Xenopus tropicalis: one gene and its partners. The protein of the gene in region 1 purifies or fractionates together with the protein of each later gene. This does not show direct contact. Links are inferred from orthologs where the notes say so. Each region holds a gene or a part of one and is shown in the gene's direction. Other genes may lie near its edges.

Region 1 (10,016 bases):
CGGGGAGAGGGGCAGTTAGATGGGGGAGAGGGGCAGTTAGATGGGGGAGAGGGGCAGTTAGATGGGGGAGAGGGGCAGTTAGATGGGGGAGAGGGGACATTATCGTTGAGGCGAATTCGGGGCCCCTGTAATTCTCTACGGGAAAGGTTCATTCTGTGTATTATTCCCGGGGTTTCCCTAACTGTCAGTCCCGGCCCCGCCCCCCGGCCCTGGAACCTTCTAGATCTTTCTACCCCCCCCCGCGGGTGGGGGCGCACATGGTTAGGGAGCCGGTAGCGCCGCCATGTTGGGATGAAGCGCGTCACAGCCGGGGCCGGGCCGTGTATCCATGGTAACGGCTCCCCCTGCGCCCGGTCATGGTCTGTCCCGCTGCTGCTTGCGCCGTATGGGCTGGTCCATGTGTTCCCTCTGCTGGGGGGGGGGGAACGAATAACACTGACAGCTGCCCCACACCCGGGGCTCCTGTTGCCCCCCACACCCGGGGCTCCTGTTGCCCCCCACACCCGGGGCTCCTGTTGCCCCACACCCAGCGGGACAGGTCGCAAATGTCTTTCAGCCCAAAATCGGGGGAGGGGGGATTTAAAAGCTTCTCACAGGGTCTTAAAGGGCCAGTACCCCCAGTTACTCAGTGTGAGCTCAATGAGTAGAGCAAGTTCTGCACAGAGATCTGCCTGTTGCTGTAAGGAGATAATAGGACTTATTTAATATAAATATATTTCTCTAACCAGGGTGGAACTGAAAGTAAAAGTCCCTTACATGGCTGCTGTGAAGCCTCTATATAAACAAACCCCTCCCTTTCCCCAATGGCAGGGTGTGAGTGTTATACAGAGGCTGCTGCTTTGTTTCCATTCTGCTCATAAGAGCAGGAAGTAGAATGTTGCATAGGAGGGGGCAGTTATACGGCCCCTGGTGTTGCACGGGGCAATAGTCCTGCCTAAGACCCAGCTGACTCTCGTTCCCTTACACAGATGCCTGAAGTCGCTCACAATGGAGAGGAGGAGGTGGAGACATTTGCCTTCCAGGCGGAGATTGCGCAGCTCATGTCCCTCATCATCAACACCTTCTACTCCAACAAAGAAATCTTCCTGCGAGAGTTGATCTCCAACGCCTCCGACGTAAGTCTGTCCTTGGCTGCCTATGTGCCAACTGTGCCAGTGCCCAAGCACCCATATGTGGGGGGAGGGGGTATCTGAACTAAAGCAGAGCTGGCCTCTTGGCTCAGCTAGTGATAGAATGGTGTGTGTGCTCTGCAGCCAAGCTGTTATATTAGTAGGTATTGTGGCAGCTTCACTGCCTGTTGCATAGGGGTCTGGGGGGACTGTTATAATGAGGGGGGGGGGGCCCTCTGGGCTAGTAGCCACTCTCTGCCAATCCTCAACCTTCTCCCCATTGTTCGGTGCCGCAGGCCCTGGATAAGATCCGATACGAGAGTCTGACCGATCCCTCCAAGCTGGACAGCGGCAAAGACCTGAAGATCGACATCATTCCCAACCGCCAGGAGCGCACACTGACTGTCATCGACACCGGGATTGGCATGACCAAGGCCGACCTCATCAACAACCTGGGAACCATCGCCAAGTCCGGCACCAAGGCTTTCATGGAGGCCCTGCAGGTCGGTACCAGCGGCCCAATATAAAGCATTGACTATTAAATGCTGGCGCATTAAGTACCGTCCACTAGCCAGTGGTGTCTCCCTGAAGTCCAATTGAGTTGTGGTTCCTTCTCTCTGACAGGCTGGTGCTGACATCTCTATGATTGGTCAGTTCGGTGTGGGTTTCTATTCTGCGTACTTGGTGGCAGAGAAGGTCTTGGTCATCACCAAACACAACGATGATGAACAGTACGCGTGGGAATCCTCCGCCGGCGGCTCTTTCACCGTGAAGACTGACCATGGTGAGTTTGTGTTCAATTGGACCAGAATTCCCCTAAAGGCCTGTAAGTTGGCACCACTAACCCCAAACTGGTATTTCCTGCTAGGTGAGCCCATTGGCCGTGGTACCAAAGTCATCCTCTACCTGAAGGAAGATCAGACAGAGTACCTGGAGGAGAAACGTGTCAAGGAAACCGTGAAGAAACACTCGCAGTTCATTGGCTACCCAATCACCCTCTATGTGAGTATGGCCGGCCAGCTGGGGGCAGGGCCCTGGGTCTGATGTACGATTGGCTCACTATTTGTCTCCCCGACAGCTGGAGAAGGAGAGGGAAAAGGAGATCAGCGACGATGAGGCAGAGGAGGAGAAAGAGGAAGAAAAGAAGGAAGAGGAGGGAGAGAACGACAAACCTAAAATAGAGGACGTGGGCTCCGATGAGGAAGAGGAGGGGAAGGACAAGAAGAAAAAGACAAAGAAGATCAAGGAGAAGTACATCGACCAGGAGGAGCTGAACAAAACCAAGCCCATCTGGACCCGTAACCCAGACGACATCACCCAGGAAGAGTACGGAGAGTTCTACAAGAGCCTGACCAATGACTGGGAGGATCACTTGGCTGTGAAGGTAAGAAGAAAAAAAAACCCCATAATGCACCGCTTGTTCAGCTCTGGGTTCCACACTCTCTCCTGAGCGCTAACACCCCCTGTTCTGCTTCCCCCCAGCACTTCTCTGTGGAGGGGCAACTGGAGTTCCGCGCTCTGCTCTTCATTCCCCGCCGCGCCCCCTTTGATCTGTTTGAGAACAAGAAGAAGAAGAACAACATCAAGCTGTACGTGCGCCGCGTCTTCATCATGGATAGCTGCGACGAGCTGATCCCAGAGTATCTGAGTAAGTACTGGCCCGAAGCTTAGTGGGCCCCCTCCTTCCCCCCCCCCCCATAGGATGGGATGCTGGGTAAAGCCTTCCAATAGTCTGGCATTAGATGCTTCATTAACAGTCTAGCATGTAGATCTTTTGCTTGATGTGGTGACACAGGCAGGCAGGGCCCCACGCACACCCATAGGCACACAGGCAGGCAGGTAAGTGTGTGGGGGGGCAGGGGCAATTAATTGCCTATTGTAGTATTTCAGCCCAAGAATCCTTGTCTCTTACGCACAGGCCTCTTGGTGCACTCGCGTATCTATAAGGGGAAGACACACGGAGCTACTAGTAGCAGCTACAGAAACAGACAATGTTGATCATTTGCTGATAATTGTCTCTACGTGTGTCTAGCAGAAGGAATTCTCAGTATTGTCTATGGCAGGGGATTTGGTAGCTGCTACTAAGCTGCGCACACACACACGTAGGCACACAGGGCCCCACAGATGGATCCTGAATGTAGGACTTTTGGGCAGTCTCTCCCTGTGCCGCCTCTAACTCTTTTCTCTCTTCCAGACTTCATTCGCGGGGTGGTGGATTCTGAGGATCTGCCCTTGAACATTTCCCGTGAGATGCTGCAGCAGAGCAAGATCCTGAAGGTGATCCGCAAGAACATTGTCAAGAAGTGCCTGGAGCTCTTCACCGAGCTGGCCGAGGACAAGGAGAACTACAAGAAGTTTTACGAGGCTTTCTCCAAGAACCTGAAGGTGAGCAGTGCAGGAGGGTGCCCTGGGCTGTAGTGGGCGGAGCTCTTGTTCGTCCCAGTGGCTCTTGCTGACCTACCTCTCCTTGCAGCTCGGCATCCACGAGGATTCTACCAACCGCAAGAAGCTGTCTGAGCTCCTCAGGTACCACACTTCCCAGACAGGCGACGAGATGGCCTCCCTAACAGAGTATGTGTCCCGTATGAAGGAGAACCAGAAAAGCATCTACTACATAACTGGTAAGTGGCCCTTGCAGCAAGATATCCCATTATGGGCTCCCCTGGGAGAGAGGGGTATTCCTCTTCCCCTGGGGTCACTTCTCCGCAGCTCGCTTAGAGGAAGAGTCTGACACGTGACCCCTCTGTTCTGTCTCGCAGGTGAGAGCAAGGACCAGGTGGCCAACTCCGCCTTCGTGGAGCGGGTGAGGAAGCGTGGCTTCGAGGTGGTCTACATGACTGAGCCCATCGACGAGTACTGCGTGCAGCAGCTGAAGGAGTTCGACGGGAAGACGCTGGTGTCTGTGACCAAGGAGGGCCTGGAGCTGCCAGAGGACGAGGAAGAGAAGAAGATGATGGAAGAGAACAAGACCAAATTTGAGAGTTTGTGCAAACTGATGAAGGAAATTCTGGACAAGAAAGTAGAGAAGGTGAGGATGGGGCAGAAGGAAGTAATGTTGCCCCTCCCCTAGTATAGCCTTGTCCTGCTAACCCCCAACCTGCCCCTTGTTACCCCGCAGGTCACCGTGTCCAACAGACTCGTCTCCTCTCCCTGCTGTATCGTCACCAGCACCTACGGCTGGACCGCCAACATGGAGCGCATCATGAAAGCGCAAGCTCTGCGGGACAATTCCACCATGGGCTACATGATGGCTAAGAAGCACTTGGAGATCAACCCCGAGCACCCCATCGTGGAGACCCTGAGGCAGAAAGCGGAAACCGACAAGAACGACAAAGCAGTGAAGGACCTGGTGGTGCTGCTCTTCGAGACCGCGCTGCTGTCATCCGGCTTCTCCCTGGACGACCCCCAGACGCACTCAAACAGGATCTACAGGATGATCAAGCTGGGTCTGGGTAGGTGTCGCTGAGCATTATGGGAATGGCTACCAGAATCCTTCTGCCATAAAGGGGATTTGTATGTAGGGTCCTGAAACCACCACATTTAGGGTTAACTTCCCCTTGTCTCTCTCAGGTATTGATGATGACGATGCAACAGTGGAGGAAACTTCCCCCTCGGTGGCAGACGAGATCCCACCCCTAGAGGGCGACGAAGATGCTTCTCGCATGGAGGAAGTCGACTAATCGGTTTGCTGCCCGCTCGTCCTGCCCCCTCCCACCCGCGTATGTGCACTGTCTGTAACTCGGTAGGGGGGCGACTTCTCCCTTGGACTCTAAATATCACATGATACTGGGGATGGACTTCCCTCCTTATAGAATATATTTGGGGGAGCTTCAAGACTGATGGCTGCTGACTTTAACCCTTTCCTCTGCACCCCCCTTGTTGTGTTCCAGTCTGAGCAGTTAGTTATGTAAGTTATTGTAGCAGTATGGCAGCTAGCTTGGCTTGAGGTAGCCCTGAGTTAGTGGCCCGCTGTTAGCCAGCTGCTGGGGGGGGGGGTCTGTTTGACTCTCTCAATGCACCTTACAGGCCCCCCCTCTAATCCTACCCTCTGCCACTATTGTAATGGGCGTGTCCCTCTGTGCCCCCCCTGAGGCACGGGGGGTACTTACTGGGAAGCTTTAGAGACCCCCCTGCTGCCTTCTCCCATTCACTTGCATGGGGGGGGCGATTGAATGTGCTGGTGTTTGCAAATAGAAACGCCAGGCCAGTCTGGGGGGGTGAGGTACTTCTGCCCAATGCTACCTCAATCTGTAGCACCCCCAAATCTGCTGAGTGGTAGCCCCCATCTCTCTGACTGGAATCTCGTGCCCCCGCCCCCAGGATGTCTTGAATGCTGAGACCCCACCCCCATCCTACACATCTCTCTATCGAGAGCCTCAATACGGAACTTTATTTTATTTTTTGTTGTTGTAAAGTTGAGAAATGTTGCGCAAAATAAAGATCTTTTTACAGTGAAACAGTTTGTCTCCTGTTTATGTGCTGCCGACTGCACCGGATACAATGCTGTGTTACAGGGCTGTTTCCCCAACTATAAACCTTATGTGCAGTAGTTACAGCCTTGGATTTCTATAAGGCTTGGGATACTGGCATGATATTTATGGGACACTTTGTATCTCTAACACTGTTACACAGCAAATAATTCCCTCTGTCATTTATCCTTTTATTCTTCAACCAACAAATGTATTTGTAGCTGTAATATTGGTGTGTAGGCGCCATCTCAGTGCCTTGTGCCCGAGTCTGAGCTTTCAGCCAGCGCTACACATTAGAACTGCTTTCAGCTAACCTATTGTTTCTCCTACTCCCATGTAACTGGAGGAGTCCCAAGCCGGACTTGGATTTCTTACTATTGAGTGCTATTCTGATACCTACTGGGAGCTGCTATCTTGCTCCCTTCCCATTGTTCTGCTGATCGGCTGCTGGGGGGGAGGGGGATATCACTCCAACTTGCAGCGCAGCAGTAAAGTGTGCCTGAAGTTTATCAGAGCACAGCTCCTTGTTACAGCCAGGAGAGGGTGCTGTTCTGAGCATGATTCAGCCTGGCTGCCCCTGCTCATATGAAAATGATAATGCCCCTCCCTGTGCCTTGTTGCCCAAGGCCATTATGTTTGTGCTGCTGGTTTCTTCTTGCCAAGTCCATAAAGCCCTTAGGGTGGGTGTTGTAGGAGGGGCCACTGGTAAAGGCTTAAATGACCATCTCTGGGGGTTGGGGGGGGTTGTACCAAAGAGCAAGGTGGGAGTTGTAGTTCCTTAGAAGTATGTAAGGGTGGTGCTGTCTTGTTCTATTGGGGGTCCCCTTATTGCAGCACAACTGTAACACTGTGTGGGAGCAGTGGGTGGCGCTGTTGCTCCCTGATGTTCCTAACTCCGCCCCATATATTTATATGCAGAGATGCTGCCCCACCCCCCCAGGGGCTTCTATGCCCGGCTGGGCTAATCAGCAATTCCTAGAAATCCGTGCTGCAGCCCGCACTGGTGTATGTGCCCAATACCCCCTCTGAGTATCAGGAAAGGAACTTGCCCCAGAGTGGGGAGCAGAATCAGATCTCTGGCCCTTGCCGGCCGCACTGACTTATGGGATTTGTGGTCCTTGTATCTTTTCCTCCTTTCCTGTTGCCTTTTGGCTGCCGGAGGCTTCTGGGAGCTGTAATTTGTATGGATTTTTATTAAAGGGAAAGTTGCGTTCTGGGGGAAGGAGGGCCACCAAACCCACTGCCAGTCACTTATCTGCCCAAATGTGGGGCAAATAGAGGAATCCCTTACTATAAAGGAGGGAGCTGCCCTATCGATTGCAGGATATTTCAGGGGGAAGGAATTATGCAGATTCCTGTATGAAGCCCGTTGTTTTTGACCCAATATAATGATTGTCTGCCACAGAGCCAGGGTTCCTCCCACCCCTAGGCCCTAGCCAATGAGCAGTGAGCACAATTGCCCTAGGGGCTCAGTAAAACAGTGGGCACTGGAAGCCTATTAGCCACTATCTCTATTATTCAGCACCATTCTGTACCACATGGGGGCCCTCCAGCCTCATCTCCCAGCCTTTGTACCTGCCCCAGGCAAGGGCCACACCTACCTACCCCTCTCTCACTCTGGGGCACAAAAAGCACACAAGCATACACGTGTCCATTCCTGCACCGGTACAGCTGGGGTGTTTGCTACAGAAACCCTACTATAGTTTATATAAATACCCCGCTGTGTAGCCCCGGGGGCAGCCGTTCCTGCACTGGTACAGCTGGGGTGTTTGCTACAGAAACCCTACTATAGTTTATATAAATACCCCGCTGTGTAGCCCCGGGGGCAGCCATTCCTGCACTGGTACAGCTGGGGTGTTTGTTACAAAAACCCTACTATAGTTTATATAAATACCCCGCTGTGTAGCCCCGGGGGCAGCCGTTCCTGCACTGGTACAGCTGGGGTGTTTGCTACAGAAACCCTACTATAGTTTATATAAATACCCCGCTGTGTAGCCCCGGGGGCAGCCGTTCCTGCACCGGTACAGCTGGGGTGTTTGCTACAGAAACCCTACTATAGTTTATATAAATACCCGCTGTGTAGCCCCGGGGGCAGCCATTCCTGCACCGGTACAGCTGGGGTGTTTGCTACAGAAACCCTACTATAGTTTATATAAATACCCCGCTGTGTAGCCCCGGGGGCAGCCGTTCCTGCACTGGTACAGCTGGGGTGTTTGCTACAGAAACCCTACTATAGTTTATATAAATACCCCGCTGTGTAGCCCCGGGGGCAGCCGTTCCTGCACTGGTACAGCTGGGGTGTTTGCTACAGAAACCCTACTATAGTTTATATAAATACCCCGCTGTGTAGCCCCGGGGGCAGCCATTCCTGCACCGGTACAGCTGGGGTGTTTGCTACAGAAACCCTACTATAGTTTATATAAATACCCCGCTGTGTAGCCCCGGGGGCAGCCATTCCTGCACTGGTACAGCTGGGGTGTTTGTTACAGAAACCCTACTATAGTTTATATAAATACCCCGCTGTGTAGCCCCGGGGGCAGCCGTTCCTGCACCGGTACAGCTGGGGTGTTTGCTACAGAAACCCTACTATAGTTTATATAAATACCCCGCTGAGTAGCCCCGGGGGCAGCCATTCCTGCCCTGGTACAGCTGGGGTGTTTGCTACAGAAACCCTACTATAGTTTATATAAATACCCCGCTGTGTAGCCCCGGGGGCAGCCGTTCACGCTGCAAAAAAGGCACATGTTACATAGCAGATAATAGATAAGCCCTATAAAACACCATTGTATTCTACAGAGTTTATTATCTGCTATATTATATTTTTTGAATTATTTCCCTTCTTCTTCTGACTCTTTGCAGCTTTCAAATGGGGGTCACTGACCCCGGCAGCCAAACCCTATTGCTCTGTGAGGCTCCAGTTTTATTGTTATTGTTAATTTTTATTCCGTATCTTTTGGTGCAGCCCCTCCCCTATTCATATTCCCATCTCTCATTTAAACCACTGCCTGGTTGCTAGGGTATATAAGACCCTAGCAACCAGATAGCTGCAAAAATACCAGAGAGCTGCTGAACAAAAACTGAAATCATTAAAAAACTACAAATAAAAAATGAAGACCAATTGCAAATTGTCTCAGAATATCACTCTCTACATCAGACTAAAGGTGAACTACCCCTTTAAGAGAACCCTAACCTGAGAGTAACTGTGGGCCTTAACCCTCTGCATGCTGTGTGCTGACTGACACTCTTCCTACCAGCAGTCGAAGGGTTAGTTACATCACATCACAGTGGCATCACTTACTGGCAGTGTGAAGCCCGAGTGGTTCTGTGGGTGTAGGTTGGCCTTGGGGTGCAGTGATGCCAGTCTCGCCTGGGTGCAAGGTGACCCCCCTATTGCTGCACCTTAAGGTCATGTGTGTGGAAGTGGCGCAATCATAAGAGCCCCCCCACCCCAGGCCGTGTATGGAACATCCCTTTCCCCATCTCCCACCCATTGCACATTACGGGGGGGGGGGGTCCCCCCCGCACCTCCCGGATCTGGAAAAACAACAGCACACCTTGCAGCATTCTGCCCAATCCTTGCCCTTTGCCCCGTCCTTGCCCCCCCCCAGCTCACAGCCTAGGTACAGACTGCAGCCCCCCAGCTCACAGCCAGCAGCCCCCCAGCTCACAGCCTAGGTACAGACTGCAGCCCCCCAGCTCACAGCCTTGGTACAGACTGCAGCCCCCCAGCTCACAGCCTAGGTACAGACTGCAGCCCCCCAGCTCACAGCCTAGGTACAGACTGCAGCCCCCCAGCTCACAGCCTAGGTACAGACTGCAGCCCCCCCAGCTCACAGCCTAGGTACAGACTGCAGCCCCCCAGCTCACAGCCTAGGTACAGACTGCAGCCCCCCAGCTCACAGCCTTAGTATAGACTGCAGCCCCCCAGCTCACAGCCTAGGTACAGACTGTACCCCCCCAGCTCACAGCCTAGGTACAGACTGCAGCCCCCCAGCTCACAGCCTAGGTACAGACTGTACCCCCCCAGCTCACAGCCTAGGTACAGACTGCACCCCCCCAGCTCACAGCCTAGGTACAGACTGTACCCCCCCAGCTCACAGCCTAGGTACAGACTGTACCCCCCCAGCTCACAGCCTAGGTACAGACTGTACCCCCCCAGCTCACAGCCTAGGTACAGACTGCAGCCCCCCAGCTCACAGCCTAGATACAGACTGCAGCCCCCCAGCTCACAGCCTAGGTACAGACTGCAGCCCCCCAGCTCACAGCCTATGTACAGACTGCAGCCCCCCAGCTCACAGCCTGCAGCCCCCCAGCTCACAGCCTAGGTACAGACTGCAGCCCCCCAGCTCACAGCCTGCAGCCCCCCAGCTCACAGCCTTGGTACAGACTGCAGCCCCCCAGCTCACAGCCTAGGTACAGACTGCAGCCCCCCAGCTCA
Region 2 (10,277 bases), on another chromosome or scaffold:
TGCTCTAAAAAACAAAATAAAATCTTCCACGTTCCTTATAAAAAAAATTAAAACAAAAGCCAGGATACCTTTCCTCTGGAACCATCTCCAACAGCAACTACAGTTGCTTGCAGCACCTTTCCTTGTGATTTTTCAGGAAGCATGATTCCCCCTTTAGTTACAGTTTCTGCAGCAAGCCGCTCAACAAGGACACGATCAAATAGAGGAACAAACTTTTTGAAAGCTCGAACTGCCTAAAATTAAACAAGGAAAACAAAAGAAGGGGTAATTTATATAAGGAAGTAGAACATCATAAAAGCAAATTCTACACATATTCAGTCTAGACAAATGTATGGTCTGAATCTTGCATATCCCAGCGTCCATGTTTAGTCACTCTCTGTTGTACATAAGCTGGTAATGTAATTAAGACTGACAGAATAGCAGAGTATAAAAAAGAGATGTAGTATAGATAAAAGGATTATCATCAAGAAGTGTACTTCCTGATAATAAACCTAAAAAAAAAAATTGAAAGGTCCTTTAACAATAACAATATTACCAAAAAATGGAAAGTCCAATCAAATGACCCAATATACTATCTAACACTATGTATAACAACCAGTACTAATACATATATGCTTAATGCATGCATATCATATCTAAAAGCTGTGACTGGCCAGCCTACTAGTTCATCTCTAAAACATAGCAACCATGATCCTTAATAAATATTACTGACTGCATATTGGGAAGAAAGAGTGGTTGTTAATGTTACATTTTCTCTTTGGAGTAAGGCTCTGACCCATATACATCCCCAAAGTACACATTCTGCAAAAAACTAAATGGGTAAATACATCTTTCTACTGCAAACTACCAAACTACAAAGTTTTGCTAAAAGTAGCGTTTTTTATTTAATTGTCACAAAGCTTGCATTTTACCCCATTATATATTCCACATATTGTAATGTAATAACATCCAACATTCTAAATATAAACCTCAGGGGTCTGCTGAACAGTTTGATGCCCAATATGTATAGATTTACCAATCTATTTGGCATACAGAGGCACCCAAATATATACATAGCAGACAAATTTTTCATGGGCACAAGTAACAAAAAATAATGTGAGATGCAATAAAATCACTAAAATCAATGCTTCGTGTGCAACAAATAGAGGGGGGGGGGGGGGGGGGGATCGAGCAGGCCCTTGGGCCCCTTCCTCTTCATCCCTTTGACCTTCCTCCTCCTCCAAACAGATCTTGCAGCCTGCTACCCTCTCCTAGATCTGCAAGTGTAGTAGAACGTAGAATCTATGATCAGTGGCACTTAAATACTTTTATCCACAGAATGCAGATTCTACATTCTGTGGCATATAAATGGTTAAAGAATAGTGATAAATGGAACATTTTCTAGTTGGAACAATGTTTATCCTTGGTCTTTGACCCTCATTTGTTTATAAATGACCTTAAAGATGTCACTCTAAAAACAACCACTGTTTTGCTGGTGTTAAACTGTGGAAAACTATTGGTTTCATGCAGGATGTTTTCACTTTGCGGAGAAATTTTAAAGAGGATGTAAAGTCATTTTTTAAAATACACATATAGATTCTTAGCACTACACTTTGTAATATATGTCTGTTAAAAAATGTGATACTTGCTCGGATGTAAAAGCGTTTGTTTCTGCAGCTTTCTTTTCTCTCCCTTGATTACAATCCCCCTTGAAGTTCAGAGGCCCCTGGCCTTCATACTAACCTGGTCCTGAGGGACAGCAATTCCAGAACAAATATGTAGCTGTGTGAGCGTTAAACACCCTTGACCCCTGTCTAACAGTTAAGCATTGAAGGGGCTGCCAATAAATCATACGCAAGAAGGACACTGAACTTCAAAGGGAATCTCAATCAAGGAAGAGAAAAGAAAGTTGCAGAATCGATCGCTTGTATCTCAAAAGGATACAAGTACGCAACCACAATATTTTCCTACGACTGATTTGAATTTGTGACATTTCCAAACATCAGAAATTACTGTAGTTACTCCAAATTATTTGCATATCGTGATTTTAACCACAAAAAAATTGTGGTTTAATGAATTTGCCCCCCATGAGTTTTGTTGTTTTACACCATGGTTTGTTAATTTACTTAGTCTGATTGGGGACATTTGTCCTATTTGATTTTATGTCACCATGTTAAGTAGTAATATGCTTTTCTGACCTTGTTGACCACACTGCATTCTAATTTGTAGTACCTGGGGATTTTTATTGTATCAAATCATATGAGGGTTCTGTATTGGTTCCACTTTTATTTAATGTGTTTATTGATTACTCAGGGGAGGGTATTATAAGGAATGTATCAGTGTTTTCAGTTGACACAAAACTCCCAGTAGCCCAATGAATTCTATCCAGGATGTGGCATCCTAGCAGAAGGATTGTGACAAACTAGCAACCCGGGTGGCTATGTGGCAGATGAGATTTAATGTCAATAATTGTAATGTCATGCACCTGGGATGTAAAAATATACAAGCCACTTATACCCTTAATGGGACTGGACTAGGCAAATCCATAATGGAGAAGGACCATGTAGATAATAAACTTGGCTGTAGCAAACAATGCCAGGCAGCAGCTGCAAGGGCAAAAAGGTTTTGAGCTGTATTGAATGGGGTATAGATAGATGCTTTATTTACCAGTAGGCCCATGCCCTTTCTGCAGACACGAGTGCACCCATTCAGACTAAAAGAAAGGAGGTCCTGTTCAGAGCTGTAAAGTTGTGGAATTCTCTCCCTGAATCAGTCAAACTGGCTAATACATTAGATAGCTTCAGGAAAGGGTTGGATGGCTTTTTAGCAAGTGTGGCAATACAGGGTCATGAAAGATAGTTCATAGTACAAATTGATCAAGGTACTGATCCGATTGCAGTCTTGGAGTCAGGTAAGATTTTTTCACCCTCTGTGCTAAATTGGAGAGGCTTCAGAAGAGATTATTTGCCTTCCTCTGGATCAACCAGCAGTTAGGCAGGTTATATGGGCATAAAAGGTTGAACTTGATGGACATCAACTATGTATAAACCACAATCTCCCTTCACCAATGGATATAATTGTGACTGGTCTCTGTTCACTACAAGGCACCGAATCAGCCTTGGTGCAGACATGGGGGTGGAATTTTACTTGAAAATGCATGAGTTACCATTCCTGCACCAAAATCCACTGCACTCAGGCTGAAGCAGTGTCTTTCAGTGTATACACAGGAGCAAGTGGATCAGCTGATACTCTGCCTGTGTATAAATGCAACCAAGTGTGGTACTAACCTTAAAGGCCAGAGCGTCAACTACTGACAGACAATGCCTTTCCTAATCTGGACAACTATTCTGAGCAGCAGAACCCTAAACTGTATTGCTGCCCATTCTTTATATGTGCAGGTTGTACATGACCAGGTGCAGTAAGTTTAAAGAAAAGCTGAAGTGTGATCCTCATCCAATGAACAGTGTATGAGCTATCCCAAAAGCATGAAACAAAAATGTAGAGAAAAGCAGGTAAATAGGACGTCTAAAGTGGACAGTTAACAAACCTTATAAAACTAATTATTACATAAAACCCATGCAACACAATCTATAAAGAATCTTGATCAACCCTAAATCCACAGAACACTGAATCTATGACTTGCGACTATTCTTTAATTTATAGTGCTGCTCATTTTAGCCATAACACTTGAAAAATAAAATAAAAAGCGTGTCTTAAACATCATGCAAGCTTGCATAGTTTAACTTTTTACAATATGTATTTCAATTATAATCCCCACTTACTTGTACGCAGGACATCATTCTTCTACCTTACATATTACTGGTGAATGTACAGCAGCAACAACGCAAATATACGAATTAACTATATAAATAACAAAAACTGGCACATCATGCGATAGTCAGGCATACCTAACGGTTAAACGCAGCACTCACCATAGTTAAGCAAGACTTGATGTGCAAAGCAGCAACCAACTCTACAAGCTCCTAGCGCAGACTGGGACACTTGACCTACAACCACGTGAATAGAAGGCAAGCTTTGCACATGCGCAGTAGAATTAAGGGACGAGCGTAAAAACACACAATCAGGTGTAAAATAGAATTGCACTAACCATATGTTGTATATTTTTTCAACACTATATAGTCCGCTTTGTATTAAAACGAATATTAACGACTAGTTCAAAACTCATCAGCCCAAGGCTGATGAGCTTTGAACTTTAGTTTTTTGCATCCGGGTTATCTGTCAATGTCACCTCGAACCTTGGAAAGCGAAGCTATTCCAGAACGTTCTGGAAAGGCGGCCCAGGAACTAGTATATCGGCATATGCTTAGGTCGTTGTGCAAGCTCATACGTAATAGGAGGAGCAACTTGTTCAGTTGTAATAAATGCCAAGGGGGGTTCTTTTATTCAGCCGTGTTATTCGTTCATGCTTAGCCCGTGGTAGTTAAAGCTTCCGGAAGGCTGAGGCACGTCATTCCCAGAGGAGGTTTAGAGCTTGTGCTGTAGGTCTGACAATTCCATTCGGCTGCAGACACGTGTGTGCTTGTACAGTAAGTTGCTCTTCGCTTTGCCTGCTCAGGTGAGTTGCTGGACCGGCTTCTTTTTGTGTCATTCTTCTTTCACAATTGGGCTTTGAGTGTAAATTGCAAGAATTAACTGTCATTTCTTGCAGCTAGCCGTTAGAGCAATGAAACATTGTGAATTCTCAAGTTAAATTGGTTTTCAATATGAATTTTTTTTTTACATTTCACATACAGCAATAAAAATGAGATTACAAGTTTATATGTTATTATAAGCTTATATTTGTTTATAAGCAATTATATTGGTGCCGAACGCGTGTATTGCAGTGATTTGTAAAGGACGAGTCTTATTCTAAAATCTAAATCATGGGTTGGTACATACAATTATTCAGTCTGTTCCCGTAGAATAAGATTCTGCCTACAGTAAATAATACAACATACGTGAGTGGTTTAACCATTGTTAGTGTAGCAAAGCAGATTCATTTGTTAAACTAGGTCCCCAGTGTGAGCAGCGTAATATGCAATTATGAGTGTCACTTTTCTGACTGTTTTTATATGTATTGCAATACTCCACTATGTATTGCAATTCAGTACTAAAAAAAAAATTGGTTGTAGTTCTGTGAAGTTCATTCATATTATGACCTTGTGTATTATGCCCTTTCAGATACCTGCATGTCAGGTCTTTGTTATGTCATCATCCCAAGTTTAAAGTAATTAAGGGGAACTTCTCTCCCATTTTTAGGGCATTCTTTAATTCTGAAAAGTTTTGTGTACCCTATGTTTTTATGTAAAGGTTTAGCTTTCATTCATTATTTTCTAAGAATGAGATAATATAAGGGCATACTTTAATATGTACATAACATGTGTTATTTGTGTATGAATATGTAGAATGGATTTAAAGGGACAAATAAGAAATCTATCCACTATTGTATCAAATTAAAACAATGCCAGAGACTCCCACCTCCTGATCTGGGTCAGGGAGACATGTGAAGGCCCAAAATGAAACATCAGTATTAGAAAAACAGTCAGAAATAAAAAATAATTGCTAAAATAGTTCTAGTGAACTATGTTAAAACACCTGACATGGAAATTTCAAGAATTTAATTTCTTTAAAGGAGAAGGAAAGGTAAAAACTAAGTAAGCTGTATCAGAAAGGTCTATGTAAATACAGCCTTAAGCACTCAGAGAAACGCTGCACTGAGTTCTCTGTCAAAAGAAACGCAGGATTTCTTTTTTTTGTAAACATGTTAGGGTATCTGACTTCCTCTCTCAGAAAAATCCATCATTCCTGGGGCCAGAGTCTGCACAGTTCTCTCTTGCTCCCCCTCCTCCCTCAAGAATGTTGAGAACTCCCTCCCCCTCCCTTGGGAATGTGTAATCTGAGCTATAATGGTTAGAGCTGAAGCAGGAAGCTATGAAGACCAAGCTAAAATGGCAGCTGCAATCTCAAACAGAGAAAGCTTCTAGGGCTCTGTACTGAGGAATAGTAATGGTTTCTGCAGAATAAATATAGTGTTCTAGGTGGCACTAATGTGGTGAATCTCTTGGCAGTAAAATGCCAAAATGCCTTTTTTAATGGCTTAGCGTTGTCTTTTCCTCCAGTGGAGAATCTACAACTTATAATGTACCCATTTTATGTGTGTGTAATTTTAGTGGGTTAGTCTGATACTTTTGGCTCAACTGAGAATCAATAACCCCAGGGTTAACTGAATCTGGCAATTAGCAAACTTCAAAAAAATGAAGGGACACAGGTGTCTTCGTACTGGCGATTCACTTTATTGCTGGTGGGAAGACACCAGAAATAAAACCTTTTTTACATCATAACATTGTCTTTGCATGCTATTATCAATTATCAATGACCCCAGCTTTTTTCCCTGCCAAAACACATTTTGAAATTGTAATGCTGATTCACACACTTAGATTGATGTGAAAATTTAAATTTAGCTGCAGCTGCTGCTGAACTAAAATCTGTAAGAGTATCTGTTAAAAATGGTTATTAGCCAATATATTTTTCTGCAGCATTAGAGCAATGCTATTGATGCTGTGTATCAGTTGTAAATGAATATATCTAGTGACCCAGAAAAGATTAATATGAGAAAAGAAATGAATTGGGGCCCTCTTTCCCTCTTCGGTTAGTGGGCTTTTTTTTTTTTTTTTTCCCCATGGTTTTTTTTTTTTCTATTGTACAGTGTTAGTGCTTTTATAAATGTTCTTTAAAGACCTTTCACTTTGAAAGTGATGTGATTGTATTCATCATTTTTACACGAACATTTTAAGCTTTAATACGTTAAATTTTAAGTGACTCTCAAAATCAAGCAGGATTTAACTGAAGGCCAAGAGCAGAAGGGCTTATAATTAATCATTTCGTGTGTTGTGTTAATTTTGAAAAAAACAAGACAACCCCACAATATAAGATACATGAATTATCTTAAACATCTCTGTTTGCCCTGTTTAGCTCAGTAAATAGCAAACCAACCACCATGAAACAATGCAACCATTTTTCTGTTTTAGAAATGCTGAGAATACAAAGAATTCTGCGACATGCAAAGCCAGCTTCCAGAGCGCTGTCCTTGAGCTTGAGCCGCCAGTATGCCAAAGATGTTAAGTTTGGGGCTGATGCAAGAGCACTTATGCTTCAAGGGGTTGATCTCTTGGCTGATGCGGTGGCTGTGACAATGGGACCCAAGGTAACCTACATACAACCTTAATAAAAAGTGTGGGATTACATTTTGTCCTTAATTAAAATTTGGTATTGTAGCCTTTACTTTTTATATTCAAATAGATGCTAAAATTAGTCACTATGTTGTAAGAGTTAATTACAAAATCTGATGTGTTAACAAGGGAGTGGGTGTACAGGTGATGCTTCCTGGTTGGGTAAAGTGGCAGCAATAAAGGCTAGCATGTTAACAAAAATGTTGTATGTTTTTAGGACAATACCTATTTTAGCACCTACTAATATTTATTTGAGTTGAGTATAAGCTAGTATTACACTATTATACTAGAAGATACTCTTGAAAGCTAGGACTTGTTTAAAGTGGCAGTGAAGAATATGTACTTGAATTTTGTGGTAGTTTTTTCTTTCTAGTGTGTAATGTGTTAAGCTGCTCTGTATGTAGCTGCCTTTTTTGTTCTCTTATTTACTTATGTTACATGCTAGTATATTACAAGATAAATGTATGATATGAAATCTTTAACAAAATGTTGATAAAAAAATTAAACTGCACAACTGAAACAGAAATTTTTAAGAGACTCCTAAATCAGCATTGACAGAAGCATTTGATACAGTGTTAGAAACAACTGCTTTCTAAACTATGGTCTGTTGGTCTTAGTGAAGTCATTTGCACATGGATAGAAAACTGGCTACAGGATCGGGAACAGAGGGTGGTTGTTAAAGGAGAATGCAAGTCAAAATTTAAAAAGCATACTGCCCAATACTCCTATTGTTTAGTAAAAACGCCACACTTTTGGCTCACCTAATCAAATATTTACTCAGTCACACTTAATTCACATTGTCTAGAACAGGCAGCCATCTCTAAAAAGGTATTCTCCCTTCCTTTCCCTCCTTGCTTCATACTGCAATGTGTTTCACTCCCTCCCCCCCCTCCCCTCTGCCAGATCCGCTTCTGATTGGCTGGTGGGCATGTGTAGCTCAGAACAGCAGACAGGATCAAGTTACACACATGCTCAGAGAATAGGAAGGCTGCCGCTGGCACCTACAGGAAGGACAGAGATTTCAGTGATGTCACTGTAGTCTTCACACTGCTGTAGGCTGCCAGCACCATATCTCAGAGAAACAAGCCGGGATCTGGGAATTTAGATATGCAGTAAGTACTTAAAAAGAATGCCTTTAGACTTACTTTTAATTTATATTAACCTTTCATTGTCCTTTAATGGTACATTCTCTACCTGGAGTAAGGTTCTTAGTGGGGTCTGTATTGGGTCCACTTTTATTTAACTTCTTCACTAATGACCTTATTGGAAGGGTATTGTAAGTAATGTGTCAGTGTTTGCATACAACGTCTGCACGTCACACAGGCAGAACAGAAAAACTTTTGGGACTGGGTTTCATTGCTGCACTGGTATTTATCTTTACAGCAGATTGTTCTAAAAGATAATTTGAGATGTTTTTGCTGACACTCGCTGTTTAAATTCAGAGTTGTGCAAAGGTGTCCCTCACTTTTATAGGGAATATGATTACAATATCTAACTATACAAGGCAACTGTATAAAAATATACATATTTGCCAGTAGATCCTTTGAGGAGATGCAAGGGCTTTAAAAGAATGGAGGTTCCATTGTAAGATTCAAAAAGGGGTTTCGTGTTTTTAAAAGTGAGCTGTTAAGCATATGTACATTAGACAGTTTAAAATAGGGTTGCATGCCTATTTAGAAAGCAATTTAATACAAAGTTACTGAAATGCACCCAGCTGATCCAGAGATTGGTCCAGTTGCTCTTTATTCAGGAAGGAATTCACCCCCCCACCTTTGAGACAAATCTTCAGAATCCTGATGTTTATGCAAATACCATATGGTTAACTCTACTGCACATATGCAGTAGTGTTGCTAACACAGAAGATAAACTTCTTGAGCATGGAATACAACTGTTATTTTCTCTTTATTTTAAATGTCTTTTTAGGGAAGAACTGTTATTATCGAACAAAGCTGGGGAAGTCCAAAAGTAACCAAAGATGGCGTAACAGTTGCAAAAGCAATTGATCTGAAAGATAAATACAAAAACATAGGTGCCAAACTAGTTCAAGATGTAGCTAACAACACAAATGAAGAAGCAGGTGATGGAACAACCACTGCAACTGTCCTTGCAAGGTCTATAGCTAAAGAAGGCTTTGAAAAGATAAGCAAAGGTGCAAATCCAGTAGAAATTAGAAGAGGTAAGTTTGAAACCCCTTTTTTCCCTTTGGATTGCAGAAGTTACGTTAACGGAACATAAATTTTGCTTTCTGGCACACCATTATTTTCCACTGAAATGGGTATTGACAAGTCCTGTAGCATTTAGTGTTAACTTTTTTAGATACCATACTAAAACCCAGATTTTACTCTTACAATATCACCACTAAAATGACAGCACTGATTGTATGTGTGCCAAAACATTACATAGAAACATAGAAAGTGAAGTTAAAGAAAGACCTGTATCTGTAAAGTTTAACCTCATGTACTTGATCAAGCTAACCGTTTCATCACCAGTGTCAACCACTGCTCTTTTCCTTTCAATGCAAAATGGTGACGGAATGAATGATGGTTTGTCCTTCACGGTTCTCTCAAAGAGCTCCAAGGCCATAAAGCACAATGGCAGTCTAAATAACTTTATATTTATTTCCAGAACAAAGTAAAGCTATAAATGGAACTACTGAAATGCATTTCTGATAATATCTGCAAATGATGTTTCTGTTGGGACAGATGTATTAAATACTTCTATTCATTCCTTCTCTGTTTGCTTACACATCACGAGTACTGAACCCTGATGCTATCCCTCACTAACTCTTTAGGAGACCGTCCCTTATGTAATAAAAGGTGCAAAGTTTGCAGTAACCCTTATAAAATTTAAAGCGTGTGACCAGTACATTTTTCTGCTGACTGGTTTATAAAGGGTTGCTGCACATTGCCTAATTTGGTGCCTTTTGTTGCATATCCCAGGTGACCTCTAGATACGTTTAAATACATAGACTTCGGTTTATTAACCACTGATATTTAGAAACAGATCTCTAACCACATAATTTTTATATATATAATATAGTATGTATGTAGTAACATTTCCGTTTTTGTA
Region 3 (10,177 bases), on another chromosome or scaffold:
CTTCCATAGACTGCAGCCCCATAATCCTTTGCTTCTGGCTGCTCCTCGTACATCACTAGTTAGGGATATATGGGATTATAAGAAAAAGCTTTGGTGTGGAGAGGCACACTGCCTGTTTATAATGGGCTATGTCACCGGCAGCTTCAGACCGCAGCTTTTGCTTATATTTTGTCTCCGGATCCTATTTATAAATCCGGGTAATTGAGACAGCATTTACACTAATGCGGGTAGGAAGCTGAATTTCTCGGCCAGTGTTTGTCTTTGCTGAATATCCTCTCAGCAGATTTACAGACCATGCCTTTATATTCTTAAAGAATCCATTAAAAACAGATTTCAGCCTCTGCTTTATTTTCATTTGTTTTTGTCTGACATGTGGACACAGCTTGCATTAGGTTCCAATCCCAGAATGCTGAGAAGTGCATTGTGGGTTATATACAAGATGGCCGCCAAATGGCTGTGTTTACATTAATATTAGCCTGACTTGTATTTGGTTTCTGCATCCAGAACAGTTACATTTATGATGTTTACAGGCTTTACAGCAGGAATCAAAGTCTGTGTATAAGGACTCAAAGGCAGTTCTCCCAGCTTGGACCTCACCTGTAGACATCTCAGCAATACAATGTGTTATCTAGTATCCGTAGCAATGTTCCTTTTTTTACCCTTTAACCAAAGTCACAGCATCTGTCTGTTCCTGCAGTCTTTCACCAATGGCACTGAAGTCGATACTACCCTAAGTCTAAAAAATGTGACAGAGACCCATGAAGGACAGTATGTGTGTAGAGCCAACAATTTCATAGGCGTAGCTGAGGCGTCCTTTTGGCTCCACATTTACAAACCAGCATCAGGTAAAACTATAGGCACCCAAAACAATCATCTTGGTATGAAAGGAAAGAAAGGAATCTTTATCAAGTCCTTGGGTGCTCTGATAACAGTCTCTCTGGTTCCTTGGGTGACTTAACATCTGCAGCTCTTTCTGCCTCTTCAACACTGAAATACATTGGATTGTAGCGCAACAGGACCCACAACTAGCTAACCTTCCTCCCCCCTACACCCTGGCATAAAGTCAGGATTTATGCATAAAGAAATTACTTTGTTGGAACTGGGATTATTTGGATCTAAAGCACAGTTTTTTAATTGAATAGAAATGTACATATTATATAATGGAATAGTGCCCCTAGAGCCGGTTGTGCTTATGGGTAACTTATATAAAAAGGTACCCTTCATCCTTATTCTCATCTGCTGTAGTTTCAGGGCACAGGGAGAGGAAATGAATCCCCAATTTGTGAATAAAATGGATAGTTTTTCTTTACAGCCAACGTTCCCTCTGCATATTTCTATTACTGAGGCTGTCATATTAGTTACCTCCGTTAAGGTCTTTTCTATAGACCGGCGCCATTCTTTGGCAAAGCCAGACTTTGTTCATAAGTATATTGTATTACTTGTATTACTTCTTATTGTGTTACTGACATCCACTCCTAGGTTGATTTATAATGATTTCCAAAAAAAGAAGTGTAGCCAAGGTGTGCCCAGTGAGCGTTAGATCCAGACTATCCCACTAACCTCTTGTCTTTAGCCTGAAGGTGGCACTTAGCTGTGCACTGCCCTGTTCCATTATATTCATTATAAAGTTCAAACTGAACATCCATTTGAGAGCCAAATGTACCATTTCAAGAATCATGAAACATGCTGTGTTGTGGGTCAGTAATTACAGGTGCCCATTGCGTGCATGCTGCCATGATATAGAATATAAAGCCTGGTGAAGGGTGCTTGTGTCTTTCTTTCCTACAGGTGTATAAAAGGCTGGTGAAGGGAGCTGGTGTCCTTTTTTTTTTATTCCTACAGGTGTCATCATTTGGGTCTTCTGCAAACTCCATCTGCTTTGGTTTCTTATTCTTGTGTTTCAGTGTGCTGGGAAACTGGGTTGCCTTTCAATGATTTATTCCATGCTTGTTCATTGTGCCCCGTTCTCTTTTCCTTTATCTTTAATTTCTCTGATCTCTTTTTAGCCTACTGGTGTTTACTCTTCGGATAAGGATCTTGAGGTGCTGGTTTTACGCAATGTGTCCTTTGAGGATGCTGGGGAATATACTTGTCTGGCTGGGAATTCTATTGGCTATTCACATCACACTGCTTGGCTGACGGTTCTCCCAGGTATTCTTGCTCATCACGCTGTTTCGGTGGCGCTTTCCATGTAACCAAGAAATGCCAAATAGACCTCTCCACCTTTCAGAATGAATCATGCAATCGTGTTGCCAATGCAAGTAGTCACTCAAAAGATTCAACCAGCACTTTGGCTTCAAGCCCATAGGTTTGCCCCCACATAGACACACTAAAGGATTCTGCCAGAACCCAAAATGCCCAATGTGGCTCTTTCCTAAGGTGCTTTCAGTTTTTCTGCTCATTAGAGTAAGGTTTGCAAATGGCCTTTAGGCTCCTCATCCACATTTACTACTTTGGCCATCTCCACAGATTGGGAAGTTAGAGGCCTAAGTGCCTTGAGCAGAGGAATGGACCTGGAAGGCCTATGTAAACAATCCCTTTTAAATTGACTTGGCCCTTAGTTTGGCATTTCTGTACATGTGATCTTCTTACTGAATCATTATACTACTACCACGTGCAAATGAGGGATTAACACATTTAAGGGCATATTTATTAACAATGGAGACAAACATCACCGGTGATGTCGCCCATAGCAACCAATCAGATCTTCACTTTTGTTTTCTAGGTGACCATTCAAATCTAGTTGCTGGCTGGTTGCTATGGGCAACATCACCGGTGATGTTTGTCTGCAGTGTTAATAAATACACCCTTTAGTGTCCGTTGGTCCTTCTGTGGCACTTGATCAGTTAATGGCCTGATTCTTTTTCCTTGAGGTGGTGGATAAATTGCCTTTTCTCTCTCCCTGTCTCTCTCTGTGCTCTGTGTTACTCTTGGCCCCTCTCCATTTTCTTATTTGTTCTCGAATATCCATTTTAGCAGAATGAATGGAAGAATGGATTGTTTCCTGAATTATTTTGTATTGTATTAATAACAATTGTCTTGCACTAAAGCAAATGTATAATAACAGTAGCCATTGTACCCACCAATAATCTGCCACACTCCAGTGTTTGTGCAGAAAATATTCACTTAGGAAGTGTTAAGTAAATCCCTTAGATGAGTAAAATCACTGTTCTGTAGAGTTTAACCTCCATTTATGAGAAGGGGATTCTGACCTTTGATTATTCACTATATAATATATAAGCCAAAATGTAGTTTATTAATATGCTCCTTTTTTCTGTGAAACAAAAAGTAAATTATGAGCACCGCGCTGCAGCTGTACAAATGATCCTATCTCTAAATACAGTATTTGCATTTATACATGAGTGGGTTATATAGTTATAAGCAGAAGATAATAGTTTTTGGAATTATTTGGTTCAAGCCATCATGTACACACCAAGGCCTGTAGGGCCCATAAAAACAAACTGCCTTTTGGCTGCTATTGGAAAGAGCGCTGGTGCAATTCTACACCTATATTAGTAAATTAGCCCCTATGTCTCTATTTGGTTTCACCCACCCAACCACTTCCATGGGGCTACTGGGCCTCGCTATCGGCTGAATACATGTAGGTATGTGGCTGTCTAATCTTACCCAAACAAAAGTAGTCCCTTCCCGCTCTACACTAACAGCTTCTGCTATGATAACTGCGGGTTCTTGGTTGCAACTGATTGTTTTCCATCCTCAGCAGAACCTGTGGAGAAGCCAACAACAACTTCTTCAAGCTCCACGACCGTCCTTATCGTGGTTTCGGTCATCACTGGGTTCATACTGTTGGTTATCATCTTCGTCACCTACCGCGTAAAGGTCCCTTCGAAAAAGGCAATGAGTGCCCCGCCGGTGCATAAAGTCTCCAAGTTTCCCCTTAAACGGCAGGTAACAGAAAGTAGATACAAGATTACTGCACTCTACTTCTCTCTGTCTTTCCTCAAGGGTGAATTTCCACTTATTCTTTATGGAAGAGTCAGAATGCCCACCTCTCTGTCGGATTTGTGGTCCTCAGATCTTCTCAGTTTCCGTGGATGGTGGGGCAGGTGGATTGATATTGGTGTTTTAGTTTTTTTATTATTCACTTTTTATAAGCTGAACCTGTCTTCCATTTTTTTCTTTGAATAGAGGTTAGACTATGAGGGTGTTTCTCTTGCTTACTTAAGGCCAACACTGTATACTGGATCACTATTAGTTGCCAAGGTGGTTAAGGGGCAGGGCTGGTTAGCACAGGGTAATCTGGCAGAGGATTGGTGGAAGGATATCAATAGAACTGTTGTACATTACATCTTCTATGGAAGCTCCATGCATCAGCATTTATATGGATCAAATAAAAAGAATACAAACCTTAAGGCAAGCATTCAGCCTGCCTAGATTTGCAGTTTCCTGACCATGCTCAGTCCAATAAGGACACCAGGGTTCATCTTTGGCACCCTAAGAAATAACCTAACAAGGGAAAAAGTATATTGTGTTTATGAAATGAGGCCGGACTTTGATTTATAACCAGCATTGTAACAGTTCTAGCTCAATATAAATGGCTACTGAATTGGGCTTGATAGGCGATGCCCTCATTCCATCATCGCTGTTGGGAGGATAGATGGAGATTTGTATGTGCGGAGCCCATTCCTTCGCTACAAACCAGTGGGAGCTGCAATGTTTTGAGAACAACCAGAAGGGTTGTTCAGGTGCAGTCTATACTAAAAGGCTGTAGTAACAGCTTTGGGAGACATTTGAAGATGGCCAAGGTTATAAGGACTACATCGGCTCCCCCTTGGCAGCTGCAACAGTTTCCTGGAAGTGAAGCGTATTATAAACATAAGCGAGGCCTCTGTTTAAAGGAAAATAAATGGAAGATAATCCCTGCTTAAATATAATTAAAATACTAAGCAACGCTCAATACCACTTTTAACCTAAACATTAATAAAATGTTTATATCACATGTAATAAGTGCTAATTCACCTTCCATTATTACATGTATTTTCTTCTTTGCCTTCTCCCTTGGCAATTAACCTGTATTTAGTTCTAATTGAATGCACTTATTTTCCTCTCTAATCCTAACTCTCTGAAATGTTACCTTTCCTCCTAATGATCTCTTTTTCTTCACCACCTATTTCCTTTATTGCCGGATGACACTCAGTATAAAGAGTAGGTATATTACGTGACACTATAAGTGGGGCATGTACATCCCAATGGGCCGTACAATAAAGTACTCATATATCATTATTGAGTATCATATTAGATTCAAGTTTTATATTTATTCTAATAATCCCCCCACCCACCAAAAAAACCCCTTTCTTTACCTGGTACAGTTGAATGAATGCTGCTTGCCCCTGACTCCTGAGCTACAGACATATAGAGGTAAATCTGTTCAGTTTAAAGGGCCTTGAAAATTAATAAATACCTCCACTTGAGAAAGTAAAGGACAATCTGCCTGATTTTATATAACAGCCTAAACCATTTAGGTCACCCATATTGAGGTTTCACCTTAGCACATTTGTTGGCGTAGACAAGGTGCAGCAGTTGGCAATAATACACATTTGTTTGGTTTATTTAAGCAGGTGTCTCTAGAGTCCAACTCTTCCATGAATTCCAACACCCCGTTGGTGAGGATCACTCATCTGTCCTCCAGCGACGGAACCATGCTGGCTAATGTGTCGGAACTGGGCCTACCGCTGGATCCTAAGTGGGAGCTGTTGCGAACACGGTTAGTGGAATTCCTCAGCCATAAATAGGATATTGATCTACATACCTCATATGCTGATGGCAAGTTAATTTTCTTCCTTTTGCAGGCTGACTTTAGGAAAGCCCCTCGGGGAAGGCTGCTTCGGTCAGGTGGTGATGGCAGAAGCAATCGGCATTGAAAAGGAACGGCCAAATAAGCCTGTAACTGTAGCTGTAAAGATGCTTAAAGGTACGAGGGGTGGAATCAGGACTGGACTTGGATTCAAAATAGGCCCTGGCATTTCCAGTACATAGAGACCCAAACAGCCCCCCACCAGCCCACTAAATAGGGACTGTCTATGGCATCTTACAGCAGCCCCTCTGGCATTTGCCAGAATTCACAGATTGCCAGTTTGGGTCTGGGTAGAACAAGATCTCCATACTGCTTTAGAAGTATGTTAATTCAGGCTTTAATGTTATTAGTTCATGAGACTTGTATCTCACCACTCTAACACTTTAACATCTTGGTTTGGGCAATGGCACCTGGCAGGAAAAAAAGAATTTGTGACTTCTCTTAAGGTGGCCAGACATGTTGCAATTTGCTCATTTGGCGAGGTTGCCAAACAAGTGGCTCTTCTCTTGATATGTCCATTTAAGCTGGTCCTTAGATGGGTCCTATGGGCAAACAATTGAATTAAAATGGCGGGCATAGTCTCCATTGGTCCGAGGACTACATCAGTGCGCCAAGCGCTCCCCATTCCTTGCAGAAAGTCAAACCTGCCCGATCGAGATCTGACCAATGTTAGGCCAGATATTGGTCGGATAGGCCCATAGGGGGTGCCCATACGTGGGCAAATAAGCTGCTGAATCGGTCTAAAGGACCCGAATTGGCAGCTGAAATCTGCCCATGTATGGCCACCTTTAGACGTGTCTATTCTAGATAATAAGTGCCATGCCCCCAATACATTAAGCCCTGATAACAAAACCATGTTGGTGTCCCTTTTAGCAGTTCCATGGGCCCTTATTGCAGTGACTGCTTGTGCTTATTACTTTGTCTCCCGTGTCTTGCAGATGATGCCACAGATAAAGATCTCTCAGATCTGGTCTCAGAGATGGAGATGATGAAAATGATCGGAAAGCACAAAAATATCATCAATCTGCTAGGAGCCTGCACTCAGGATGGTATGTAAGCCTGTGTCCTACATTGTGCTAGAAATGGCCTGTAAGTTATATAACTGCAAGCGTTAGGAAATGTTGACTCCCATATTGATGAAGTTTATATCACAAATAACAACCTTCGTAAACGGCCTCATTTAAACAGGGGCTGCTGTCTCATGAGGCTCAATACTGCAGGCAAATGGGGCAAAAGACAAAATAATGTTTATTCTACCAAATATGCCCCTTTCTCGAAAATGGGTCCTTGTGTGACCCTATGGTTGAAAGAAAGTCTTCATTTAAATGTTGATAAACTACAACTTCCAGCATTAGGGGATTGTGGGAGTTACAGTTCAGCCTCCAACTGGGGTTAGTGGTAATCTCATATCTGCATTTTTCTTTTATTGGGTTGGACTGTGTTAATGAAATTTCTGTTACCCATTGTAAATATATACTGTCTCCCATCTATCCCACGCAGGACCGCTGTACGTTCTGGTGGAATACGCATCCAAAGGGAACCTCAGGGAGTATTTAAAGGCACGGCGCCCCCCAGGAATGGATTATTCTTTTGACACCTGCAAAATTCCAGCTGAGCAGTTGACTTTCAAGGACCTAGTTTCTTGCGCCTACCAGGTAGCCCGTGGCATGGAGTACCTGGCATCACAAAAAGTAAGTTTTGCACGTATTGTATTAAGAGTTCTAGATATGATGTGGGTGATGCCCTCCTACCCTGTTTTGAAAAAGTTCATCCACACACGTCCCTCTGCCTCAAACATTCCTCTAGAGGCTGCTCACTTACCCTATACCTGGCCTTAGTACTCAAATCAGCACAGTAAGGTTGGCAGCCACTTTACATCTTGGCCCCAGCCTAGATGGGTAGTTCTTTGCACCTCCTTTTGCCATTAATGGGGAGTCTAGGATGGCTTTTGGGTTGCAGCATCCAAAGCACCACATGGGCCAATTTTAAACCTGGCCATATCATCTGTCTTTGACCCCAGCCCCAAGGTGGATTTCTATTATAGTCGCTAAGAGGTGGTTTGGCTGGGTTTGGGTGTTCTACAGCAGCTACGAAAGTACCCCACGTGGCACAAGCCTTAGGCCTCAGCACAGTCCTAAAAATCAGATGTAGAAGTGCAGTTAGACGTCAGTATTCTATCGGTCTCCAAACTCTCTTCCACCAGGCAGATGGTCTCCCTCAGTGGATTTCAGTTCTGCTGGAGCTGCAGATAATACTGAGAGATTCTCTCACTAAAAAACACAGGCAGGTGGGTGTTGGGCTGCAGTCCCTAGTAAGACCACAGCAGTTAGAATCAAACCTATATCCCCTTTTCTAAAGACCAAGGTGTATGGGGCACAAGGATCTGCAATATTACCTGGGGAGAAAAAACACAAGTAGGGTTAAATGAGCTTTATTTAGTCCATCAAGTGTTCCAAAAAAATGCATTTTGTAATGCATTATGCACTCCACTTTAAAGGCTGGGATCAACCAACAAACCAGCTAAACAGAGCAACAGAATATTAACAGAGCCAGACTACCCTGTAGACCAGTGGTAGTCAAATTTCAGAGGTCCTGTGTTTGATGTAGGATAGGCGTACTAGTTCTTCAGTCATGATAACAAGAATATCTAGGATGTAGCTGTGGGCGATTTGGCCCTATATTCCCCAGGATGATGCATAGGGCAGGGTTTGTGGGACAACAGGTGGGCTAGGGTTGCCTGTCAGGCGGGAAGCTCCATCTTGCTTATATTCCAGCTCCGCTTGTACTGACATGTTGTGTATTCTCCTTCTCCCCCAGTGCATTCACAGAGATCTGGCAGCCAGAAATGTGTTAGTAACAGATGACAACGTAATGAAGATTGCTGATTTCGGCTTGGCCAGGGACATCCACAACATAGATTATTACAAGAAAACAACAAATGTAAGTTATCCAAACAGAACTGTCGTTTTACATGGCAAATATTGAGTTTTACTTCCCACTGAAGGGGCTGTTGAGAGAGACGTGAAAATGAATCCTTAGTTGCAGCAGTGGGGCTGATGCTTCGGCTTCTATACAGTATATAGGAATTTGCCAGGAGCTCACAACAACATTTAATAGATGAGTGTCTGCTATGAGACTGCATGGAGCAAGATTACAGGGCATAGGGGCAGGTTTGGGATCACTGGAATAAGGGCGCCTTTTAATAACCATAGATACGGCCAGACATATCTAACATACGTGCATGTTAAGCCTTGCTTGGCCTAATACTGACATGTAACTTGGCCCAGTTGGCAGCTTATTGACCATGATACAGGGTCAAAATATGGCCTGATCCATATCTTATTGTAGCATAATCAGATCCAGCAAGGACCATATCAGACTGTGGTTACAGACCCCTATGTGATAGGATTGTTGGCCCAGAGGCCAAGTGATCAGGTTGGCCTAGTTAAGCCAAACAGGGCAAGATCCACACATTTGGCAACCTCTCCAAACAAGGGCCTCTACCTTGATATGGCCAGCTATATAAATCTCATCAGTGCAAGGTGTGGAGTGATTCCGAGGTACTTAAAAGGGTCAGGCCCCTTCAGACCGAGTCAGCAGCTTTTCAGTGTATATTGAAAAAACATAGAATATAGCTGTGGTACCTAAAGAAATGCCCCAGTTATTGCAAAACTGCATTATTTAATCTATAATCATGATATTGCTGTTTCCCCACTACATTTTCCCTCTGTCAGGCCCAATGCACTCAGATAAGCATTCTAGCCTTATGGAGTCACCTAGTCACTGTTAATCTGTTTACCCGCACCCATTATCTTTAGCCAGAAAGCAGCTGAGGTCAGCGGGCACGGGTGGAAGTGATAGATAGTGGATTATAAGGGAAGATTGGATGGTGCCATTGTGACTGTACCCCTGTGCTGATGTAACAGTCCATTCTGTCTTCCCAATTACAGGGTCGGCTGCCTGTGAAATGGATGGCTCCGGAAGCTTTGTTTGACCGTATCTACACTCATCAAAGTGATGTGTAAGCATTAACTGCAACCCATGCTGCCCACAGAGGCAGAATTCCTCTACTAAGCATTCTGATAAACAAATGTCTGATAGCTTATCTATCTAGTAAAGGGTAACTAATGCAAAAATCTGATAGAACGTGTAAGGTGCTCTTTTATTATAAAGATAATTTCTTTATTCCCAAGCCCTGATTGGGCTGTGAGATTATTCTGTAGTGATCCAAGTTAAACCTACAGCGGCCCCCATTCCGTCAGCCCCATGTGTTACTGATGGATTCCCTTAGCAGCGCTCTCTGTAGAATAAAGGTGGCCAATTATTTCCATGGCCGTTCCGTGGAAGTGGCGGTTTCCTGGC

What was found.
Region 2: the proteins of hsp90ab1 (region 1) and hspd1 fractionate together in Homo sapiens (co-fractionation; 3 studies listed by BioGRID). This does not show direct contact. The link is inferred for Xenopus tropicalis from reciprocal best matches to the Homo sapiens genes HSP90AB1 and HSPD1.
Region 3: the proteins of hsp90ab1 (region 1) and fgfr3 purify together in Homo sapiens (affinity purification with mass spectrometry; 3 studies listed by BioGRID and IntAct, with this or other methods). This does not show direct contact. The link is inferred for Xenopus tropicalis from reciprocal best matches to the Homo sapiens genes HSP90AB1 and FGFR3.

What each region holds. Positions count from the first base shown.
Region 1 is NC_030681.2:2,227,666-2,237,681, reverse strand, and holds the end of hsp90ab1 (heat shock protein HSP 90-beta), read left to right. Parts: intron 1-968; coding exon 969-1,115; intron 1,116-1,405; coding exon 1,406-1,612; intron 1,613-1,733; coding exon 1,734-1,893; intron 1,894-1,977; coding exon 1,978-2,111; intron 2,112-2,187; coding exon 2,188-2,493; intron 2,494-2,591; coding exon 2,592-2,757; intron 2,758-3,303; coding exon 3,304-3,494; intron 3,495-3,582; coding exon 3,583-3,730; intron 3,731-3,868; coding exon 3,869-4,137; intron 4,138-4,227; coding exon 4,228-4,561; intron 4,562-4,679; coding exon 4,680-4,789; 3' UTR 4,790-5,566; downstream 5,567-10,016. UniProt on the Homo sapiens protein: Molecular chaperone that promotes the maturation, structural maintenance and proper regulation of specific target proteins involved for instance in cell cycle control and signal transduction. Undergoes a functional cycle linked to its ATPase activity.
Region 2 is NC_030685.2:46,530,951-46,541,227, reverse strand, and holds the start of hspd1 (60 kDa heat shock protein, mitochondrial), read left to right. Parts: upstream 1-4,488; 5' UTR 4,489-4,555; intron 4,556-7,007; 5' UTR 7,008-7,009; coding exon 7,010-7,183; intron 7,184-9,131; coding exon 9,132-9,384; intron 9,385-10,277. Other genes in the region: hspe1 (10 kDa heat shock protein, mitochondrial), read right to left, coding at 69-233, 3,762-3,779. UniProt on the Homo sapiens protein: Chaperonin implicated in mitochondrial protein import and macromolecular assembly. Together with Hsp10, facilitates the correct folding of imported proteins.
Region 3 is NC_030677.2:20,898,306-20,908,482, forward strand, and holds part of fgfr3 (fibroblast growth factor receptor 3), read left to right. Parts: intron 1-697; coding exon of another isoform or gene 698-845; intron 846-2,006; coding exon 2,007-2,151; intron 2,152-3,721; coding exon 3,722-3,909; intron 3,910-5,576; coding exon of another isoform or gene 5,577-5,579; coding exon 5,580-5,725; intron 5,726-5,810; coding exon 5,811-5,932; intron 5,933-6,753; coding exon 6,754-6,864; intron 6,865-7,315; coding exon 7,316-7,506; intron 7,507-8,632; coding exon 8,633-8,755; intron 8,756-9,765; coding exon 9,766-9,836; intron 9,837-10,177.